Linked DNA regions of Drosophila melanogaster. The protein of the gene in region 1 interacts with the protein of each later gene in a pairwise test. Each region holds a gene or a part of one and is shown on either strand. Other genes may lie near its edges.

What was found. The genes of interacting proteins can lie anywhere in the genome.
Region 2: the proteins of CG31600 (region 1) and mgl interact in a two-hybrid assay, tested with the Drosophila melanogaster proteins (one large-scale study listed by BioGRID).

Annotation. Positions count from the first base shown.
Region 1 is NT_033779.5:21,910,619-21,921,018, forward strand, and holds CG31600 (uncharacterized protein), read right to left. Parts: upstream 4,741-10,400; 5' UTR 4,685-4,740; coding exon 4,640-4,684; intron 4,581-4,639; coding exon 4,398-4,580; intron 4,349-4,397; coding exon 4,184-4,348; intron 4,131-4,183; coding exon 3,822-4,130; 3' UTR 3,651-3,821; downstream 1-3,650. Other genes in the region: CG11634 (uncharacterized protein), read left to right, coding at 5,787-6,683.
Region 2 is NC_004354.4:9,493,628-9,504,449, reverse strand, and holds the start of mgl (megalin), read left to right. Parts: upstream 1-4,320; 5' UTR 4,321-4,576; intron 4,577-8,260; exon of another isoform or gene 8,261-8,474; intron 8,475-8,550; exon of another isoform or gene 8,551-8,776; intron 8,777-10,822.

The DNA.
Region 1 (10,400 bases):
AATGGAACCCAATGGAATGTCATTCCTCCCTCCCGAGTCGACGTCATCAGTCAATGTCAGCTTGATAGTTTTGACATTTTTATGAGCAAATGATAAGTCTCACTCTGATGGCTGCCTGTCTGCGATGGCCAGTGTTTGACACTTGCCAGCCACAAAATATTTGCGAGCACTCATCCGCACAGCCCGGAATTTCGTACGAGCCACTTGAGTTCTTTCGTGGGTGCCTGTATTTATGACCGGGGCTTCATATTATCGCACACGATGTGTATATTTTTAAATTTAGCACTGACAGAGTTCACAAGCGTGTGGTCCTCCTTTCGTCGTCAAATCGGGAACTGCAATCAATCAATGTGATTTTATAGCCACCACCCCAACACTCGCAATCATTTGTGGTATTCTGAATCATTTACGGGCTTAACGATTCACTCTGGCAAAAAATCTATAAGCCCGATACTAAGAGTAGCAAGTGATGCCTTACGGGGCCAAGGGTCTGAAAAGGTTTTGGTTTAGGAATTCCGTGCTGGTTTCTCTTATTTGGAAACCATGAACTAGTACAGTTTGCATTAAATTAAATTGCAGCTATTCAATCTTAACTATTCATACCGATTTCGAGAAAGATTTCAAGAAAACTATGTCATGGAATGAGGGAAGCTATTCATACCCTATAGATTACATACGATCGATCGCATAATTCTGCGTACATCCCAAAAATAATTAAATGTAAACTTTAATCACAACTGGTTTTTAACCCATTTCGTAACTTAACTTTAATTTAATGTCTTCGTTAATTAAATCGTCTTTCAGATTTTTCAACAAATAAATAGACTGTTTTTAAAAAATACTTTGGGTATAGAATATAAATAGAATAAAAACTTTCTTATGTATCCTCCGCACTTATTATACTCCAAACCTCCAAAATGACATCATTCCGCTTTCTTTAAGTTAAAGTGTGTTTTTAAATTTTTCTTTCAAGAAGATCTCACAAATGCTTGATATGATTGAGATCAGGACTCAGGATTTTTAAATTTATACAGCAGCCATCGTTCTCGATTCAATGCAGTGTGCTTTGGGTCATTCTCTTGCTGAAGCCAATATATGTACATTTTCTATCCCCAATTTTTCAGCACTTGTTTTTATACCCATTATGTAAGTATGTAATGGGCAGAAGGAAGCGTTTACGACTATGTAAAGTATATACAGCTGTGTTAATAAAAGTATCAGTGCTTTGGACCTGAGAGTTTAAGATAAAAAATTCTTATGAATTACAGTTTTAATGGGAAATTTTTTTTTTTATAATATCTTTAGGTATTTCATTTCAAACAATTCAACAAATGTTTCACTTTTATTTGTTCAATAGTTTCGATAATATAGATTAAAGCAACATAAAAGGCAGAAATTCTGGTGTTCAATGAAATAGCAGTGCTATGAAAAAACCGTAACAAAATTCAAATTGACCTAGAACTAACATAGTTTTCCTTTTGAATACGTTAATTAGGGCCTAATACTTGGTTGGATAGCCTTTGTTAGCCAGCACAGCCTTACACCCACGCGGCATTGTTTAATGTCCCCCCACAGATTTTCAATAGGGCTTAAATCGGAAGATTGTGCTGCCCACGGCATTGCATCTATTCTATTTTGGGTGAACCTATTCTTAACCGATTTGCTTCTGCGTTTCGGATCATTATCCTGTTGGAATGTCCATTTTAAGGGCATATTATATTCAGAATATGACAGTAAGACATCAATAAGTATATTTACATCTGCGTTTTGGTCTGTAATACCATAAATCATATGTTATGGACTCATACCATTGTAAAAAAAACAAGCCCATACCAGGATTTTAGGTTCACCGTGATTGAAACTCTTCACTGGGTGTTTTGGGTGGTACTCGGTGTTTGGAGGTCGTCAGATATACTGTAGTGAACCAGTTCCACCAAATATCACTATTATTGACCTATCAGTCTAAAGGATATTACACCATTTGGAGACTGGCCAGTTTAGGTAGGTTTTAGCGAAGTTTCACATTGCCTTAATATGCCTTGGGCTAAGTACGGGAACCTTTCTGGGACTACTCGCAATTAAATTTCGATTAGGTAGTTATCACCGAATAGTAACGTCACTCAGCTCAGACTTTATCTCCCTAGGGGATGCAAAAGGATAGACTTTGGTACCACGGTTTTCGGCTTCCATTCATATTTAATGGCATTGGATACCATTTTGGCAGAATATTCAGGGGTTTTTTGAATGTCCTTGTATGTTTTTCCTTCCTTTCTTAGCTTAAAAATTAACATTATTTTCTCCTGGGAGCAGTGCTGTCCTCTACCCACTAAAATAATTTTTTTTAAATTATTGCCCCTTTAAATACGCGAATTAACTTAACCAAACTCACTTTTTTTTAGAAAATATTTATAATTTCGGGACTTTACGTTGGTCAAAACCAGACACTGCTATTCTTATGAACAGTCTAAAACTTGTGATTTTGCTCAATGTAATGTAAAATGTAAATAAAAAAAGGATAACATGAAAAACTAGCCGTGTAGTGCGTAATAAGTGTACGTGTAAAAAAGAGTCGAGTCCGAAAAGGGACTTGGAAGAATACCTTTGTATTACTCAGTTTCCTTCGCACTGCTATTTTTCTGAACACAGCTACATATATTTTTAATCAAGATCAATAGCCGAGTCGATTTGGCCATGTCCGTCAGTCCGTATAAATGTCGAGATCTCAGGAACTATTAAAACGAGAAGTTCGAGATTCAGCATAAAGATTGTAGAAACAAAGACGCAGCGCAAGATCGTTGACCCATGTTGCCACGCCCACTCTAGCGCCCAGAAACGGCATAAAAATGCCACGCCCAAACTTTTGAAAAATGTGTTTATATTTTTTCACGTTTTTATTAGTCACTTATTAATATTGAACAATATTTCGATTTCCGAATCGGTCATTTTATTTCCCAATATCTATCGATATCCCAGAAAAATGATGCACTTTCGCGTTCGTATACACACTAGCTGAGTAACTAGTATCTCACAGTCGGGGAACTCGGTATATCCGAGCATTATCTCTTGTTTTTAAAATATCTCTTTAGCGGGGTATTAAATAATAAAGAAAATTCAATTTGTTTTAAATTAATAGAAAGCACTGTTCATACATCTACCTTAGGTCACGCCTTCGTTCATGCATTTTCCACAATTGATTTCCTGATATTATCTATATACATTTTTAAACCAAAAAAGACAATAAATTATAATTTGGAAAAGCAAACCGGTACATTTTCAGACCAATAATAACGGTATGGAATTGTCAAAAATGTGTACGTTTTGCTTAATGTGAATTGTTTTTCCATTCCGAAAGTTTATTTTGCCTTCTAATACTCACTTCCGTTTCCGCTGCACAAGACCAAAGTGTGTTTCCGCTACCCTATTACCACTCCATTCGCCATTTGAAACTTTTTTCGTACTCATCGAACGAATTATAACAAAACCAATTTTCCATGACAAAAAGACAACAGGAAAAAACCAAATTACAAATCAGACAATTAAATACTCATACTCAATACTCGCAAAATGTTTGACATTTATTAATTAAAAATAGGATAAACTGTATATTAATTTTATTCAAATTGTCATCGGCAATAAAAGACAGCTTATTTCAATTTATTTCTTTGTTCCATTTCGATTTGTCATCTACATATTGTATGCAATACAGTGGCATAGATTAAAACAATACAAACATTACAAGAAACTGCATTTAGTACTCAAGAATGGTTACATGGTAGTGTATAGAGTAGTAGTATTTGGTTAGGGTTAATAAGGCTAATGTTTCAAAATGTGTTTTTAACTAAATCTATTAGTACCGCAAGCCCGTGTGTAATAACTCTTTTATGTTTCCTTTCGCCGATCAAAGAAATACATTTCTTCAAAAGCGTTGCAGCAAGAATAAGTAAAATTACCAGTTCCACAAAAATAGCCAATCTGAGCTGCAAATGACTTATATGTTGTATCGGCATAAAAATGTTTTTAACAAAGTCACTGCAACCTTGGGTGATAAGGTCGGGATGGTAGCAGTGGGTTGGAACCCCTTGTAGATAATCCATATAAGAACGGGGACCCTCCAGTCCACAGCATAAAACCTGTGAAAAGCAAAACCCTTGAAAGGGCAAATGAGCAAAGGCATAACACATACCGCATTTTCAATCGAAGGCCAATCTGTCTCGTTAAAATTGGAGTATGCCAGCCATTTAAGGTTTAAGCTATCCATGAATGTACTATAGCTCCTGTTCATGGCTTCTAGTTGTTTTGAAATTGTGAAGTAAGTCCAATGAAGGACGAGTATCTGCAGCGGTATAAGCTAATTTACAATTATCAACCTCACGTTTTTTTTTTGGTAAAGTCCTTACCCCGAGAACAAGCCAATCATCACGCAAATTGGCTAAGTATAGGCTGACCAAATTCAGGCAAATGGTAATGGAAACGGTACTTGTTAGAAAATTAAAACAGTTAAGCACATTAATGGTTATTTCAGCGCTTTTAAGTCGCAGAGTAAAGGGTATAATTACTCGAAATAACACAGCCAATACAAGCTAAGTGTAGAAAAGTTGTCAGTAAAAACTTGAAGACGGGCTGCTGATTAAATACTTACCCCAAATAAAATAGCAGTTAGCTTTTTTATCATGCCCTCTACCATTTTGAGAATTATTTTAATATACGTAGCTCAATTTTATTCTACGCAAATTGACAAAATATTCGAAGCTGGAAATAATGGCCTACCACATAAATTCAAATTTTTGTTTTCCCAATTATGTATGTATACGAAATCACGCAGGTTTTTCTATTTGTGTTTCAATTCCTTTTTTCTGGCAAAATTTCATTGTTGATTTATGGGATTTGCTATTTTTGACAGTTGTTTTTGCTACAACGAATGAGAGTGTGTGCGATAACTGTTTGTAGGTATAAACATGATTTTATAATCGGCTTTCTATATTAATTTTAATTTTATTTTCGGCATTTTATTATAATTACTCTTGATATATGTAAATGGTCATCGTTAGCAAAATTATCATTCCGTATATGGCTGTATTGTTGCTGCACTTGATGTCCACATGGATGTCCCTCAACTCGTTAGGAAATTTACTACGCACTTTTTGTTGTGGGTTTTCAGTTCGCCAATGGGCCATGCGAAAAAATATTTCTGTGGCTTTAAATATTTTAATTGTCGCTGTTGGCTCTGTTCTGTTATTTCATAATCGTATGCTCTTTGTTGTAAGTCAAAAAGGGTGTAGTTCGAAATGCACAATAAAAATTGTAATATTTTGGCAAAATATTTATAATTATTAATGCTAATTTCAACAAATCCAATGCATTTCTGGCATTCTATTTGGACGATGGCTAAATACTTTGGTGTTTTGTATCTGTTTGTGATATTTTAATTTTACTGTCGCATTTGATCATAAATTAAGCGATTAACAAATAAGGGGCACCGTGGGTTATGGGTGCTCTTTTGAATTCCCTCGATGTGGCAATGGATGGAAGGGGCCAGTAAAACTATATTGCTTTTGATAAATGCCGATGGTTAGGACTCAGAGTGCGCCGCATTGAGCGGTTTAGTACTTAGTACTCAAGTGATATTAGAATTCCTGGTAGATTAAAAAAAATAACAAAATAATTGAAATATGAAAATGTGTCAGAAATGTTTCATTTAATCATATCCAATCGCGTTTGCCATTCAAATAAATCTCAAAATATATAAAAACAAATTTTTTACATTACAGTGAAGTTTTTGATAAGCCATGTTCGATACAACTAAATACTTTCCGCGTTCAGTTGATTCCGAGCATCCGTCCCAGTCGGAGCACAATGAGTCCTTGTCACTGGATCATGTCGTCACCTACGATATGGTCCATAACCCGGAGGGAAGATCACCTGATCACAGTGTCATCGAAATGACATCGGAAGCTGACCGGCATATAGGACACGATGTCACTTCATCTCCCCAATTGATGATTATATTTGAAGAAGGCGACATCAACAGTGCACTGCACTTTATTATTGAGTCGGTTCATAATCCCTTTGCCTCGAATGCGGTGGCCATGGTTCTGGTTGAAGAGAAAATTCGCGGGGAGATCGTCGAGCGAATCCTGTCTAAGCTACATCCTCTTAGTAAGTTTGTGGCCGAACATCCTAGCTATCTGGCAGCACTGGAGAAATGCCACACCTCCAACTTTAACATAATAAGGGCCTGCATTTCGGAGGTTGCCCCACCAATGGCTTCACCCATTTTTGTGTGTGACTGTACGCACGATAAGCTGGGAAGTTACCCAACTGGAGTAGTAACATTTCACACATTCCGCAATAACCAGGAGGCCATTGCCATAAGTCAGTGCGAATCGTTGGCCTTCGCATCCGTCTCCATTTGGAACGAAACGCTAACTGGATGCTACGATCTCGTGGCGGCCCTCAGCTCGTCCTATTTTTTTCTAAACTGCGCCAACGTTGACTTGTCGCCAATTTTAAAGCCACACAAGGCCCAGAAAAATTACGTGGTAGTTGAAAACGGCTTTCACTTCGAAACCCTACGTATCTATGACAATTTCAAAGCCATTGTATTTCCCATTGGCGGACAAATATTGCCAGACATCGAGGATCACAAGGAGGAGCACGCAGCTATCTTCTTTTTGGAAGCTTAGTATTGGAATGACTTCCACGACTTCCCCTTTCATCCGATTTCGCAAAAGTGCTTGGCAGATTCAAAATTTAAAGTTATTTTGGGTGTTTTTATGGTTATTAACGTTCATGATGCGTGCCAATATACAATGTAAGTGCAGCTGTCAGCGGTAATAACAATATTTCTTTTCTTCCGGATATTGACTTTTTGGGCGTCTTAATGAACGCAGGTTTTTTGTATATAGGTTGCGAATTAATTCGACACAGCGTGACTAACTGTGTATTCGATTTTTTTAAATTTTATTGGGACATTGAGAAATGGTAAAATGTTGGTCTGTTATCTTTTCGCTTAAATATTGTTTTGTTTATTCGTGCCGAACACTGTAAGAATGTTTTCTAGCTCTGCAGCCGATACTTATATTCAACTTGGCAATCTGATACTGGGCATGACCGAATAAATTTACGATCGCACAGCATTCCGGAGTCACCACAAGCATCTGCCCCATAAAATCATTTTCTTTATGGGAGTATGATGAGCGTATGAGTGACGCCAAGTCGTCGCTTTTGGGCACTTAAGGTCTGAATCCAAAAATAAAGCCCGCTCGTCAGTGTAATTATCAGTTTTGTGTGTTTTTCTGCCTTGGAATTTATTCCCCATAAATCTCCCGCATGTATCTGGCCCAATAAGGGGGAAAGGCTTATCAGGTGCAGTCACACCCTCCTCTGGGCAGCTCATCCTTCCCAGGGCGTTGGGAAATTCATTATAAAATGCGGTTTGAATTATTTGTCAAAATGTCTGGTCCAGGACGCAGTGACATTGATGTTGACATTGACAGACAGACTGGGTCGAATGTCCCCGACAGACCAAGCCCAACTCACTCGCCCGATGTGACAAAATAAATGAAATTGTTAATGGCCAGTGAGTCACCGAGTTTATCGAGTTGGTAGCGTCATTATTGTCAGCTGCATCAGGACCTGTCCGACGGCCAATAAAGTCTTTTAAAATAGACATTTTATTGGTGAATCCATCCAGTGAAAACCCGAAATGGTCGATTGTCGCCATACAATTCAGCGAATCTAACATACCCTAATATTCCCAGAGCATCAGGTGACAAATTTAACATCAACATATTTAACATATACATATTTAATAGCCTAAAGGGGCAACAAATCAAGTTTGAGACTTATACAAAGAAAAATGTAGCTGGTAGGTGAAATGCATATGTTGCCTTTATTAAAGCCCAAGCTTTGATCCATATTCAGTGATCGTTGGAGCTTCCCATTAAGACATTTGAAGACCCATCTAGTACACCCATATTCAATGCAAGTCACTGCCTTCCGAGTCTCGAGTTAACTGTCAGTTTCAATCGTGTCTGCAGAACTTGTCACTCATTCAATAGTTTTGAAAATTGCGAATGTCACTTACAACCCAACAACAAGAGCCACTGCCTTGCACTTACAGCTCCCTCTTTTCTCAGGCACATGTGTCTGTGAGTGAGCATCCTTGCCAAGGATGCGGACTGAGACAATGTTGCCGGAGACGGAGAAGGATACTGCCACGAAGACAAAGTCGAGTCAGAAGGATGACGCGGCAGCAGACGCTGTGAATTAAAACAAGGCCAGAGAATAAAATAATAAAAGAACACGAAGACAAAGCATAAGAAAACTTGAATGTTCCCATACCGTTCCAGCCTCTCGTGTTTGTGTGAGGTTGACCCATAATAGAGAAGGGTTTTGGGGCCACTACACGGAAGAAAATATATGAGCCCTGAAGTCTAGTTTCTTTTTAATATGCTCATCTATACATACACATGCAAATGTATGTGTAAGTCTGAGATTTTAGTAGCGAAATATAGAAAATATCTAAAATACATTATAAAACCCTAGTATTTCCATCTATTTGTGTGTTAAAAAGGCTATAGTGAAGTATTTAGTTAAATTAAGACTACCTGGGCTATTAGATATCCGTTGCATAGCGACTCATTCTTTGAGTCAGTATTAATATAGAATTTATTTATTATAATTTTTATTGTAATTTTATTTTATTTAGAAGGATCAATCTTATATAATATTACTTTTTTCGCTTTTAATTCTAATTAAGTTAGTTAATTAAGCAAATTTTCATTTATTATTTAATTTGTTGTAATTAAGCAACAATAAGTCTTTGTGTTCTTAAGTCTAATTTAGTTAGTTACTTAGTTGGATAGTATTTTTTTTTTAATTTATTAATGCTTAATTAATTTTTAGCAGTGCGCTTGCGAGTGCAGTCCCTCCTTCCCTCACCCTTCCACGTTGCACTGAAAACGGGACAAACATGCACGCATCAAAATCAGACTTGTAATCCAAGTGCAAGTTCCGAATCCAAAAATCCATCCATCGCTTGCAGAACATCCTTCACCGAGGCTCCTCGCTCCCCTGCCCTCGTCCTGCCAGGATAGCAAGCAAGTAAGCAGGAAAGCAAGAAAGCAAGCAGGAAAGCAAGAAACCAAGCTGGCATCCAGCAAGCTCGCAAGTCGGGAGGCGGGAGGAGTTGGAAATTCGCTCGCCTGGTGTCACGTAGAATAGACATACAGACATGCAAGTGACAGACAGATGGAGAGACACTGTGACACGACACATTGACTGACAGCTGCAGGGATGCCAGTGGGCGTGGGCGTGGGCGTGGGCGGTTGCGTTGCCAATGGGGCGTGGCAGGTCTAAGAGGCTGCCACTGGGGTTGCAAGGATTTTGTGCAAGAAGTGGCGTGTGCAAACAAAACCGAAAGACAAAAGCATTGATGGACATGCACGGGGCTGCAGGAGAGCAGAATGAATTCCATCTTCCATCGCCGGTCAATGGAACAGTTTCCTTAGTCAGCATCTCCGTGGGGCATTTAATTTCAAAAGGATTGTTCGACGACTGCAAGTTAAAGAGGGGAAATGTTCAGGGATCTGAGAACATACTCGCTATCAATTCCTTTAAGGTCTTTTACGTTTTCCTCGTATCGTGATAGTAAGAAAAAAGTCCCCGAAATTTGTTAGATTTCCGATCCCGACATTTGCGAATCAATTTTTGAGGGCTTTAATTATTTCAATATTAGAATACAGAAGACCTTAACAATGCATTATTGAAATACCCATAAAATTAAAGCGAAAATGTGAATATTGTAAATTGTTGTATTGATGTAAAGCTATCATAGATATCATTGTGCACAAACGTATTGGCGTTTCATCTAATAAACGATTTTTAATTTAACCTTGACATCCATATGTATATTCGTCTAACGGCATCTTGTCTAGAATGACAAACATAATTTTTAAAACGTTTTATTAGATTTTATCCAAATGACCCATCCCCGGAACTTCTAGCTCCCGTCAACAGAAAAAAAGTACGGCTTTTATTGAGAGCTCAAGTGACGAAACCTTAGACGAAGGCAAATCATGAGACCACAGAAAGGAAAGGGGCGCAGGGAAGTGCCCTAAGGACGCTTTATGCAAAAAGTATTTTTAATTTCATTTTTTCACGTTTAATTTTTGCTTTTGCATTTTTTGACCAAGCTGAAAATCATAAACCGGAGCAGGGCAAGGACGCGAACGCGGATGCAGATGAGAACGGGCAGTGAAAAATAAATAAGAGTAATTAAATTTCGTAACAAACATGACGAGATAATGGACCGGAGCCATTAGCAGAACGTCGAGACAGGGCTGACGGTCAGTCAGGACCCCGAAAGATGACGAAAGCAAAGTCCTTTCCTCCCCAAG
Region 2 (10,822 bases), on another chromosome or scaffold:
AAACCAGCAATAAAACGATGTGGAAATTCAACTATTTTTGAACTGGGCTGGCTGCTTGCCCAGCCCAGCAGGTCAGCCAGCCTTTAGTTCGAGTAGACCAGGCCCGAAATCCAATAACCCCAATTAATAATAATAATACTACTACATACATGACGAACAACTTGAGAATTTGATGATTTCTTCAATTTTATTTCGGCTTTTGTGTGTGTGTGGCATGTAACGTAGTGCAATTCGATGAAATCGAATATTTGGAAAAACTGTCTCGTTTAAAAATCATCTGAAAGTATTCATTCATATTTTGCAAACAGTACTTGTTCCTTCTTTTTTTTAGTGCACATATAATTGGTTTTTTAAATTTGCTAATATTGCACAATTTGTTTTATTTTCTTCTCTATAAAATTATAGGAAAAATGTAATTAATTTAGGTTTATATTTACAAAAGATTTGGGTATTATTTTTGCACCCTTGATTAAAAATGGAAATATGAATTGAAGAGATCGCCGCACTCTCAAGTCGTTGAAGTTTTCTTTTATATAAGTCTCGATGTTGTTGTTTCTCATAGAGTGTACACATAAACATAGGATATATGTCCTCGTCATAAATATATTTAGAATGTACATAACAAAATACTCGAATATTTAATTTACTCTCTGTGTTCCTCTATTCGAACCGGAAACGAGTTTGCGTCTTCTTAGCACTCCAGGAAAATGAAGGAAAATGCCCCAATTTTCAATATGAAATGGGTGGAGAATTAAAGAGACCCGTAACTAAAAATTTCCCTTTCCTCTAATTTGACCTGAGCAAAATGTCGCTGGACGACGAAGGAAAAATACAAAAGATGTGTGTAAAACAAAACTAGAGAATTTTTTTATTATTAAACATAGTCAAGGATAATCAACACGAGATGATGGAGAATTTGGATGATGATGGCAAAAATGATGATGAGAATGCAAGGATGTAAAAGATATATTTATAGAAATGAGCTATATGTATACATAATGACAGATTGATTATATGATTATATAGTAACTTATTGTCACAACGCAAGAGCAATCAATGTTTAACTTTATTAAATGTTACAAAGAGTTTTAAATATTAAATATACTTAATGAAATATATACAGATATACCTATATATTGCAGATTATATTCTATACATATAATTTGTAGGTGAAGCTGAGATGAAAATGAATAAAAAATACTAGTCGTACTCGTAGTTCGCCATTATGTTTGCCAAAAATCGGAGATAAATGTAAGAAAAGTTGTGTCAGCCATTGCAGAAATTCGAGGGAAATTATTGTATTTAGCAAAAGGTTTTCCAGAATCTCATAAAACTCCATTTGTAAATCTATTGTACCCGCCAAATAAATAATCGTGAACCACAATCCTTATATTCAAAATAAGCAAACCACAAAAGAAGAAATTTTGGAAAGGCACGGTTTGAAAAAAAAAACCGGGCTGGCACTCTTTCTAATTTTTTTTTTGTTAGCATTTATTTCAAAATCGTTATTTCTTGTGTCTTAGCAATAATAATATAATTAAAATGTGTGTGTCGCTCTGTAACTGTCTCTATTGTGTTTGAGATTACTCGTATCTTATAATGAATATTATTACTAAACTAAAGCAAAAGTAACAAAAAAAAAGAAAAGAAAAGTAAGAAAGCAAAAACGCAGGAGACGCGGAATGGAATCCACAACAGAAATTAAAATTACTAATTAAAACGATTACTTACAGTAGACTTAAGAATACAATGATTAAATAAAGAAAACGATTTCCTTACATTAACATTGGTGTAACATTTTTCGGAAAAGCTCTTTTGGCTTAACAGAAGTTGTTGAAGGAAATAGAAAAGCTTTTAACGGTCACTTTCCCAAGTCACAGTAACACTGCTTTCTGCAAAAGCTTAAAGCTTAAAAGTGTTAGCTTTTTGAAGCTGTTAAAAGTCGATATTATAGGTTTATTTTGGCTTAAACCAATAAACCAGAGTGAAATGCTGGCTAAAAGCTGTGGTCGTTTAAGCTTTATTTTTAAACGGATTTCCGTTTTTTTTGCTAAGCAAAGGTTATTTTTCCCCTGGGTTACGTGGAAAATAGCTTGTTGAAAAAATATAACATCAGTTAACCAACTTGTGTCGTGTTAACGTGTCAAACTTTTCCAATTACTCACATGCACTTGGGCTCACCCAAATAATTTACCTTATATCATATCCGTTGCATCCAGTTACATATCCGGAACAATAGTTAAACCAATTTCGAGATTAACAACACGATTAGTACGTATAGTTAATATCTACGTGGTTTCTGATTATTCAATAAATAACTTAGGAAATGTTATGGTTGGTGGGGAATTTCTTGAAATAAAAACTTTATTATTTTTGATATAATATTTAAACATATTTTGATGTATTGGCTTAAGTTAATAAGTTCGCATATAATTTGTGTAAGCCAGTCATTTATTTGAATTGCGATCAAGTGTGCAACCTTGGCGCACTGCCCCCCACTCGAGAACATGCTCTACGGCTGTTTAAACTTTGGAGATGGTTAATAAATTTATTTTGTTTATTTTCGGCCGGGTCACGCTTTCCCCAAATGACCCTCGTCATAAAACGCGCGAGAATCTCTGGGTAAATATAAATATAAGAATTGCACGCTTTGGTTTTTGTGCATGAAAAGTTTACTTCGCATTTCGGTTTCGGCCAATTGTTTTTCTTGGCCCTATCACCTTTCACTGCGAAATATGTCTAAACGAGAATGTTTTGTGAATCCATTAAGACGCAATAGAGAATTTTCCTATAGCTCGTAGAGCGTTCGGTGATGTCTCCGCAGCACTGGATTGGAAATGTATATATCTTTCTACTTGGCCACCTGATAGGCGAAACAGCTTTTCCCCTTCGAAAATCTCAAATTGTTCAATTCCGCTTCCAAGAATGCGGAACGGCCAGCAGGCGGTCAGGCAAAAGTTTTTAGGAGCCGAAACAGCTGTTCATTTGGCTGGTGACTGACTTGCTCTGCAATTAAAGCGATTTTTTTCGCGGAAGAAGGCCCTATTCGAATAGTTTGGATACACTCGAATTCTTGGGAGTAAATATTGAAGAACTTCTTCAAAATTCTCCTGCTCAGTTCTAAAACCAAAACAATGGGATTTACTTAGGTTCCGTTTCATATGTGTGTGAGTGTAAGCTTGTACTTGAGAACAAGTGCGTTTATTTTTAGCCGAGTATTGAATTAATTTTCGTACGGACTTGTAAAGGAGCTTACATTATTTTCGTAGAGCAACCTGGCAACCTGTTGAAGGGGCTTGCAACTCGAACCGCGTTCGCTGCCAGCATCGAGCACGTTGCACGTGGCAAGCAGCAATTGTGTGTTTACTCAATATTCTCGGCGTGCCGCAGATTGTGCCTTCCAGAAAGCAAAATAAACAAATAAAAGTTCCATGAAAAGGTATCATTTGTCAAGCGACAGCCGACAAATGAATACACATATGCATGTATGTATGTATGTATGTATGTCCTATGTACCCAACGACTTAGCGGCTTAAGTAGCTGCTCTAAATAATAAATTCAATTGTAATCAGAATCGTTTATGTAAATATTCAAATCGTCAATTTACCCGGACAGAGAGTGAGATAGAGAGAGTGTAAGAGTGTGACGTGGGGGGGGGGGGGGGTGGAATTGTCCTCCAATAATCCGCGAGGCAAGCAAAAGTCTGGGAGGGGGGGGGGTGGCAGGTGTAGATAAGCACCCCATTAAGACAACAATAAGCTCAACAAGTTGTTCTGGAAAACTGTCAATTAGAACCACCAACACGCACTGTGGCAGCAACAATTGTTCGAATGAAAACACAACATGCTGCATGTTGCACGCTCGAACATAGCCTTGCCATGGAATCGATGTTGCATCAGAGGTGTAGATGGGGGCTATTAGGAATTGCAGCGTAACTAAATAGTATTAGAACTTAAACGCAGAGCAGAGAACAAAGAAATGTGCACTCCGAAGCTGCGGAGTTCTCAAATAAAATGAAGCTAGCATTTTAGTAGAACTATTACTTGCTATTAAGTATGTACAATAATCTCAATAATAAGAACTAAATAATAATAATGAATTGGTTTGATGATGAAGCAAGCTCCTTGGGCAGTCATGAGCATACCAATGCAATTCTTTCGCTCTCGAAAGCGGCGCCTCTGTTTGAAGTCGCACTGCCTGTGAGTAGCGGCTGCAACGCAACATGTTCGATGGTTCGATGGTTCGAAGGTTCGATGCCTTCGGTTTTGGTTGGGCGGCGAGTGGGCTGCGCTAGCATCCGCTGGTCAGTCGCTCGCGGAGCGTCGTCGTGAACGGTCAGCCAGCGCGGCTAATAAGTAACCAACTGTAGTGACAGTGCGATAGTGACTCTGATCCGAACCCGAATCCCAGGCCCACAACAGATACGTCCAGCGTGTGGGCAGCCAGAACAGAGTGACAAGAATATCGGAGCCGACAACAACAGTAAACTGAAAGATAGAAAGAAAGAAAGAAAGGCCAACCTGCCGATTAAATTCCAATTGAGTGTTACGAGTTTTTTTTTCGAGTGAGTGCGGCGGTAAATATTTCGATCTTCTTCCCTTTTTTTTTTTTTTGCTGTGCCACCAACAGAAACCGAAAAATGCAAAAATTAAAAACCAATCAGTGAAAATCGCCAAAATTGCCAAAATATCAAATAGAAAAATATGGAAAATAGTTGAATCGAAGAAACGCAGACCGCAAAAATTTATAGAAAGAAAACAAACACACAACACACACACAAAGAAAAAACAAAAGGGGCAGACAGAAAGAAAGCGCTTTTATTATTTTATTTAACGATTTTTCTTCTTGCAATTTTTATTTTGCACACTTTGTTGTTGGGTCAGTCAGTTGGCGGCTTTCGCCACTTTACGAGCAACTTCCTTTTTTGGCCGGAGAAAAACCAGTCTGGCCAAGAGACCAAAAGACCCCTGGCCAAAAGACGTCGGTCGGTGGGCACCAAACACTGCGAATGTAAACAAAACAGCAGCAAACCGTATTTGTTTATGACTCGGCTTGGCCAGGATAAAGCCCAGAGACTTTGAGACCAACTAAATCCCACACCCCCAACCGCCAATCCCGCCCTCACCAAAAATATGATTTGCTAGCATTTCCCCCCATTCCCCGGCCGAGATTCTCAAGTGCGAGAGTTGCAAAAAAAAATGTGGTCCCCCCTCCCCCCTTTTATTGCCGCACCGCGTTGAAACGACACCCGGTGAAAGTTTCCCAGTCGCAACTTAGAACTCTCTTCATTTTCGGGTTTCTTTATTTTTTGCTTGATAAATGAGTCGCTGGCATAGCCCCCGGGGCGGTAAATCATCTCTGCTTGTGGCACTGACAATTTCACAAATTTATATATTTGCCACAACAACCGACCGAAACACTCACAGTCGAAAGTTTTCCACTTCGAGTGCAAATTTGACTGGCTTGGAAAAGTCCAGGCGAGCAAATTGGCCAGAGGTGTTGCCAACGAAAAAAAAAAAAAAAAATGAATTGGTAACGAAAACAATTGACGAAATCGGAAGTGACAGCATGATAGTTCAAGTTCAAACACGCATAATAACTTCATTGAAAACTGTAAACTTGAGAGTAAACAATAGTTTTCAAAGATTTCACGAAGTGTCTTCAGTTCAGCATATTAAATATACCCAAATACGGTTTCAAATTGACATAGATTAGTAATTTAACATAGGAACAGTTAAAAAAGTTAACCAGCTGGTGTGATAATATCTATGAAATTGTTGGTTTCTGGAACTTGAGAGATTCGCAAGTTCTAGCAAGCAGCGGTTGTTAATGCATATGAATACGAGACATCGAGCAATTTCGAAGATATTCCACGCCAGTTATCGCCCCCCCCGCCAGTAACTGGAGGCCAGCTCTAGCTCCCATTTTTAACTGGTTACCCCGCTCGAGAATTCACCATGTCGGCTCTCGGTTTTTTCCTTCGCTTTTCGCTTACTCCACACAACACAAATCGAATTGAATGGCAATCTGGAATATGCCAGGCAGATCCAATTGCATGCCACATATGCAGATGTAATGGGAGAGTTGGCCCACTCGCCACCCCCTTGTAAGCCCCCATCGAAACACCAACACACCCCCCCCCCCCCGGCCGCTTACAAAAATTAAGCCCCCTTAGCCGCCCCGCCAACTGTACCGCTGATCTGCTTGCCTCATTGCCGGTTAGAAAGCCAATGGAACGAGTTTCGTTGAGTGTGCAACTAATTTTCTAAATTGTTGTCGCTGCTGATCGTTGAGCGTGGCAAAAAAAAAGTAAATAAATAAAAAATACACACATTATTTATATGGCCAACGTCGCACAAAGAAATTATCTGTCACCAACATTGGTCATCAATTTTGATGGGTTTTCGGCGTCTAGAATAAGCCCTTTTATCACTGACGTTTTAATCAGATCTCTTCTTCAGAAGTATACAAAATCACGGTATGATCTTGCTTGAAGATGATTTCATTTTGCTAAAACGTGTTTTAATTCACTTTTAAATCATGAATCATAAATATAGGTATTTATGTGACTATTTTATATAGGGTAATACGATAATACAGAATCGTATATACGTACGTACTTTTGTAAAATAAAAAAAATTTAAAAACGGAATAATAAAATGTATATTTATGGAAATTTTTGAACGATGGCATATTTAAATAGATAAATAATTATGAGAGTGTGGGTGATAAGGCAAAGATTTTAGATTCAAAACCATCCATTCATCATTGCGAAGATCGAACTGTCATTTTTGCGATTGATTGATTGAATTTTAATAAAAGTCTTTGAAGTCGGACTTATTTATTATTTTTTTTTTTTATTGGGTTTTTCTTCTCTTGCGAGTGCGTCGTCATCATTTAATGGTGAAGATAGAAGAAGAATTATCCGAGCCCATAGAAGGCGAAGAAGAGGAAGAAGACAGGGCTAAAGAGACAGAGCGAGAAAGAGAGTAGGAGAAAGGGAGAGAGGGATAGAGAAATGTTAATGGATTAGGAAGCGAGCTCAAAAGGCAGCGTAGAAGAAGAATCGAATCTCGGCTACTTGCGACATTAGCCCTCTCCCTCCCACTCCCGCCCGATGAAGGCGGGCGCGAAAGAGAGGGGACGAGAGGGAGAGCGAGAGCGGAATTGAATGGCCAAAGGAAAGGTGAAAAGAGGCAACTTGGCTTAGACGATGATGATGACTGTTTCTTCTGTTTGTGTACGTATGTGTGTGTGTGTGTGCGGACAAACAGGTATCACGCACACACCTACAGACACACTCACACCTGTGCGGAATAACTAAGCAGCGACCCGATTTTCAACAGAGAGCCAGTGAGAGAGATAAGAAGAGAAGAAACAGAGCCAAGAATCCGATCCATGCCATGCGCCTAAAACTATTACAAATCTATAACAAATCTACCACGAATCTACAAACCACAAGAGATCTTTTCACAGATCAATTTTATTGGGATTATTCAAAAATTTCCAGTTTCTGTAGTGGGGTGATTAAAGGAACCTGCATATATGTTAAATGTTTCAAGTCATTTCATTTCATTTTTATTTTAATATTTTAAATCACATTTCTTGTGACACGTGTTACTTCAAAGATTATCCATCAATGTAATTTGTTGATAACTTATCTTTTACATTAGACAATAAAATAAATTGCGTTCCATTTAACAATCAAACGATTTGGTAGTAAAAAGGTATGAAACTCCAACGATATTATGACTACGTTTTCGTTTTGAATAGATAAAAGTGCTTCTGTTAGCTTTCTGATTCTTCTAATTAGTTATTTCAATTCCGATTGATGGAGTTATATTCTTAGGCTCTGCCTTGCATACATAGTATATCTCTAAGCTACATATATATATATAGGCCGAAAACCAATATGCAAAAACCAGAAACAAGTAGTCTTCATATGTAAAACTCTGTTCTCATTAAGTTCTGGACAGGTCATAATGATGTTTCGCCCCGTGTCGTTCCATCGTTCGCTCTGTCTCTTGTGTACTTGGATAAAATAAGATTTTTTTTGTGATTTTGCCGGTTGCCACACCTGAAATTCAGCTCTCTCTCCCTCTCTCTCTCTCTCTCGCTTGCGCCAACGCAGCAGCAGCAAGAACAAGAACGACCAAAACGAAAGACTTAAACGACATACGTGTCTCGCGCTGACGTCGCCGCTCTCTCTCTCGCTCTTTCTCTCATCCTCTCTCGCTCTCTGATTGCTGTGTTTTTTTTTTCAGTTGGTTTCCAAAGGCGCGCCGTCGCAGTTCGAAAACCGCGGCTCTCGCCAGCAAAATAAAAAAAAAAACAACAGCAATTTAATTTAAATAATTACAAAAGAGTCTATTTAAGAAAAAACCTTCTCGAAGAAAGGCAAGAAGAAAAATGGCGCGCGTTCAACAAAGAGAAAATTAGAAACGAAAACGATTTTTTTTTCAAGTGCTGACAAAGTTTGTGTTTTGTTTTCTTTATTTTTTTTGTTTTTGTGTTTGCCCTTTTGCCTGTTTCGTTTTCGGTGTTTCTGTTTTGGTTCTGTTTTTTTTCCATATTTTCTCTATTTTACCTGTTGCATTGGCCTGCCACCAACAACAACAAGAAGAAAGCAACAACAAAAGGATATATTAAGAAAATTTGTAAAGAAAAGTGCCAGCACAAGGATTTTTGCTCTCTCTCTCGCACGATGCTGCTCTCTCGCTCACGCTCGTTCTCTCGCTCTCTGTCTGGATTACGCTCTTCTTTTTGCCAGTGACAGGTAAGCAAAAACAATAACAACCAGAAAATCAGAAAAAAGAAAAACAATTTTCTTGTAATTTTAATTGGAAAACGTGTTACGTTGCACACACAAAAATGTGGAAAACCACCGAAGAAAATCGTTTGAAATTTTTTTTTTTAGACAAACGAAGACATGTGAACCAGAAAAAGAAGAAGCTGTCTCTTGCCGGTCGAGCGGTAAATTAAGTTGTCCCAATCCCCCACACACGACCGCCCCTCCCCCCCATCCAATAGCACTAACTGGCACTCTCTGGTACTTTCTGTACCATCTGTAACTCGGGCTCGGAACGTATTCAATTAGCCAGTTTTGGTATGCAGCATTCTTTTGAGCTACCGAATATATAAGCACTGTGCTTTTTAAGAAAAACTCTTTTTATAGCCAGCCAACTCGAATTTTCCACATGCAACTGGTCAAGGCGAAATATTAATGAGTACAGAATACTAATCAGTAAATATTTTTTCACACCAATACAAGATTTTAGTAACAGCTGTCGAATGATTTCCAGTAGCCATTTATAATGGGTAGATTTTAAAGCTGTTGGTTATGCGTATCCTTTAAATCCTTTAGAAATCCTTTAACATCTTTTAAAGGTATCCTCAAGTCGCTTCTTAAAGGCTCTTTTTAACTTGTGGTTGTCTTTATGCTTAGTTTTGTGCTTCCCGTAACTTTAGTGGGATTCCCCTTACGCTCATCAACTAGCTTGTTGTTAGAATGCGTTTTCTGCGCTTTCCACTTTGGCCCCACCCCCCTTCCGGGTTTTCCGACCCTTTGACGCCGCCAGGAACTAACTGATTTTCCCCCTTTCGTTCTGTATCATTGCCTTTGCTTGTTTCGCCGTCCCTTTCCGATGGCAATGCATTTAGAACCAGATCTTATAGCATTTTTTAGTGGGGGAGCCAGCATCTTGCTGTCCTCCTTTGATATCTTCCCTCTCGTTCGCACTGTGCGTATGTGTGTGTGTGTGTGAAATGTTTTTGTTGTTTGTTGCCGCTGATTAAATTGTTTGAGAACTTTCGTTTATAATTTGATGTACCATCCACCGCCCCACCCGCTTGAAAAGTCGCCACCCACACGTCGACTTTCGCCCGGAAAATTTCACCCACCACCCACCGCCCGCCGTATTTAGTTTCATTTCTGTGTGCAATTAGGCAGCATTTATCTCGTTTAAATTTGCGGCAGTTTACGAAGCTCAGCGGGTCCCGCTTATCACAAAAACCCAAACAAAGCACAAAAGATACGTCGACGGGGTACACAAAGCAAAAAGTAGGTTCGTTCTTGGATTGAAATGCATATTAAATATACAAGCCTAAAATTAGAACACTCTGGAAATAATAGTTTAATCATATAGTTGATATTTTGTTAGCTGTGTGAAAGAAACAATTCTTTACAACAATGGGAATCACAAAGGTACCAAATGTAAGGCTCGACAATATTTTCTCAGTGCACAGAGGCTGGAGACTGATGAATGCCTGGCTAAATTTAACTTAGAACTTTTCGGAGTCTCTGGAAAATTCAGATCTGAAGAGGAGATGTGTGCGAGGTGGAAGAGATTAAGAAAGATGAAGGAGAAACGAACGACTTTTTAACAAGGGACGTGGCCATAATATTCAACGAGCAAACTTTAAAAGTAGATGGTATAAAATGAAATCAAGAAATATTTGCTATGGTGAAGAGCAATATTTTTGGAATATTATTAATGATCTGGGGGATGCAATTAATTTGACACAATGGATAATTACTCTACTCTGTTCCGGAAGCCTTACACAAAGACCCAGTAGTACCAGGCAGCACATTCTCTGCCTTCCCCCCATCTATTGTATGTATATCGAATGTGTCTCCATAACAGACCTACTTACTCAATTGTTTCTCGCTCACTTCACATGGCAGGAGTCACGGCCCCCTTTTTTGGGGTCCGGAAAAGCTGCCGGGAGAAGTACCTGCAGCCACCAAGCTTCGAAGGAGGCTCAGCCATCTCGATTCTAATGCATTTCCAAGCCCTGATGGCAATTGAAATGCTGCTGCAGT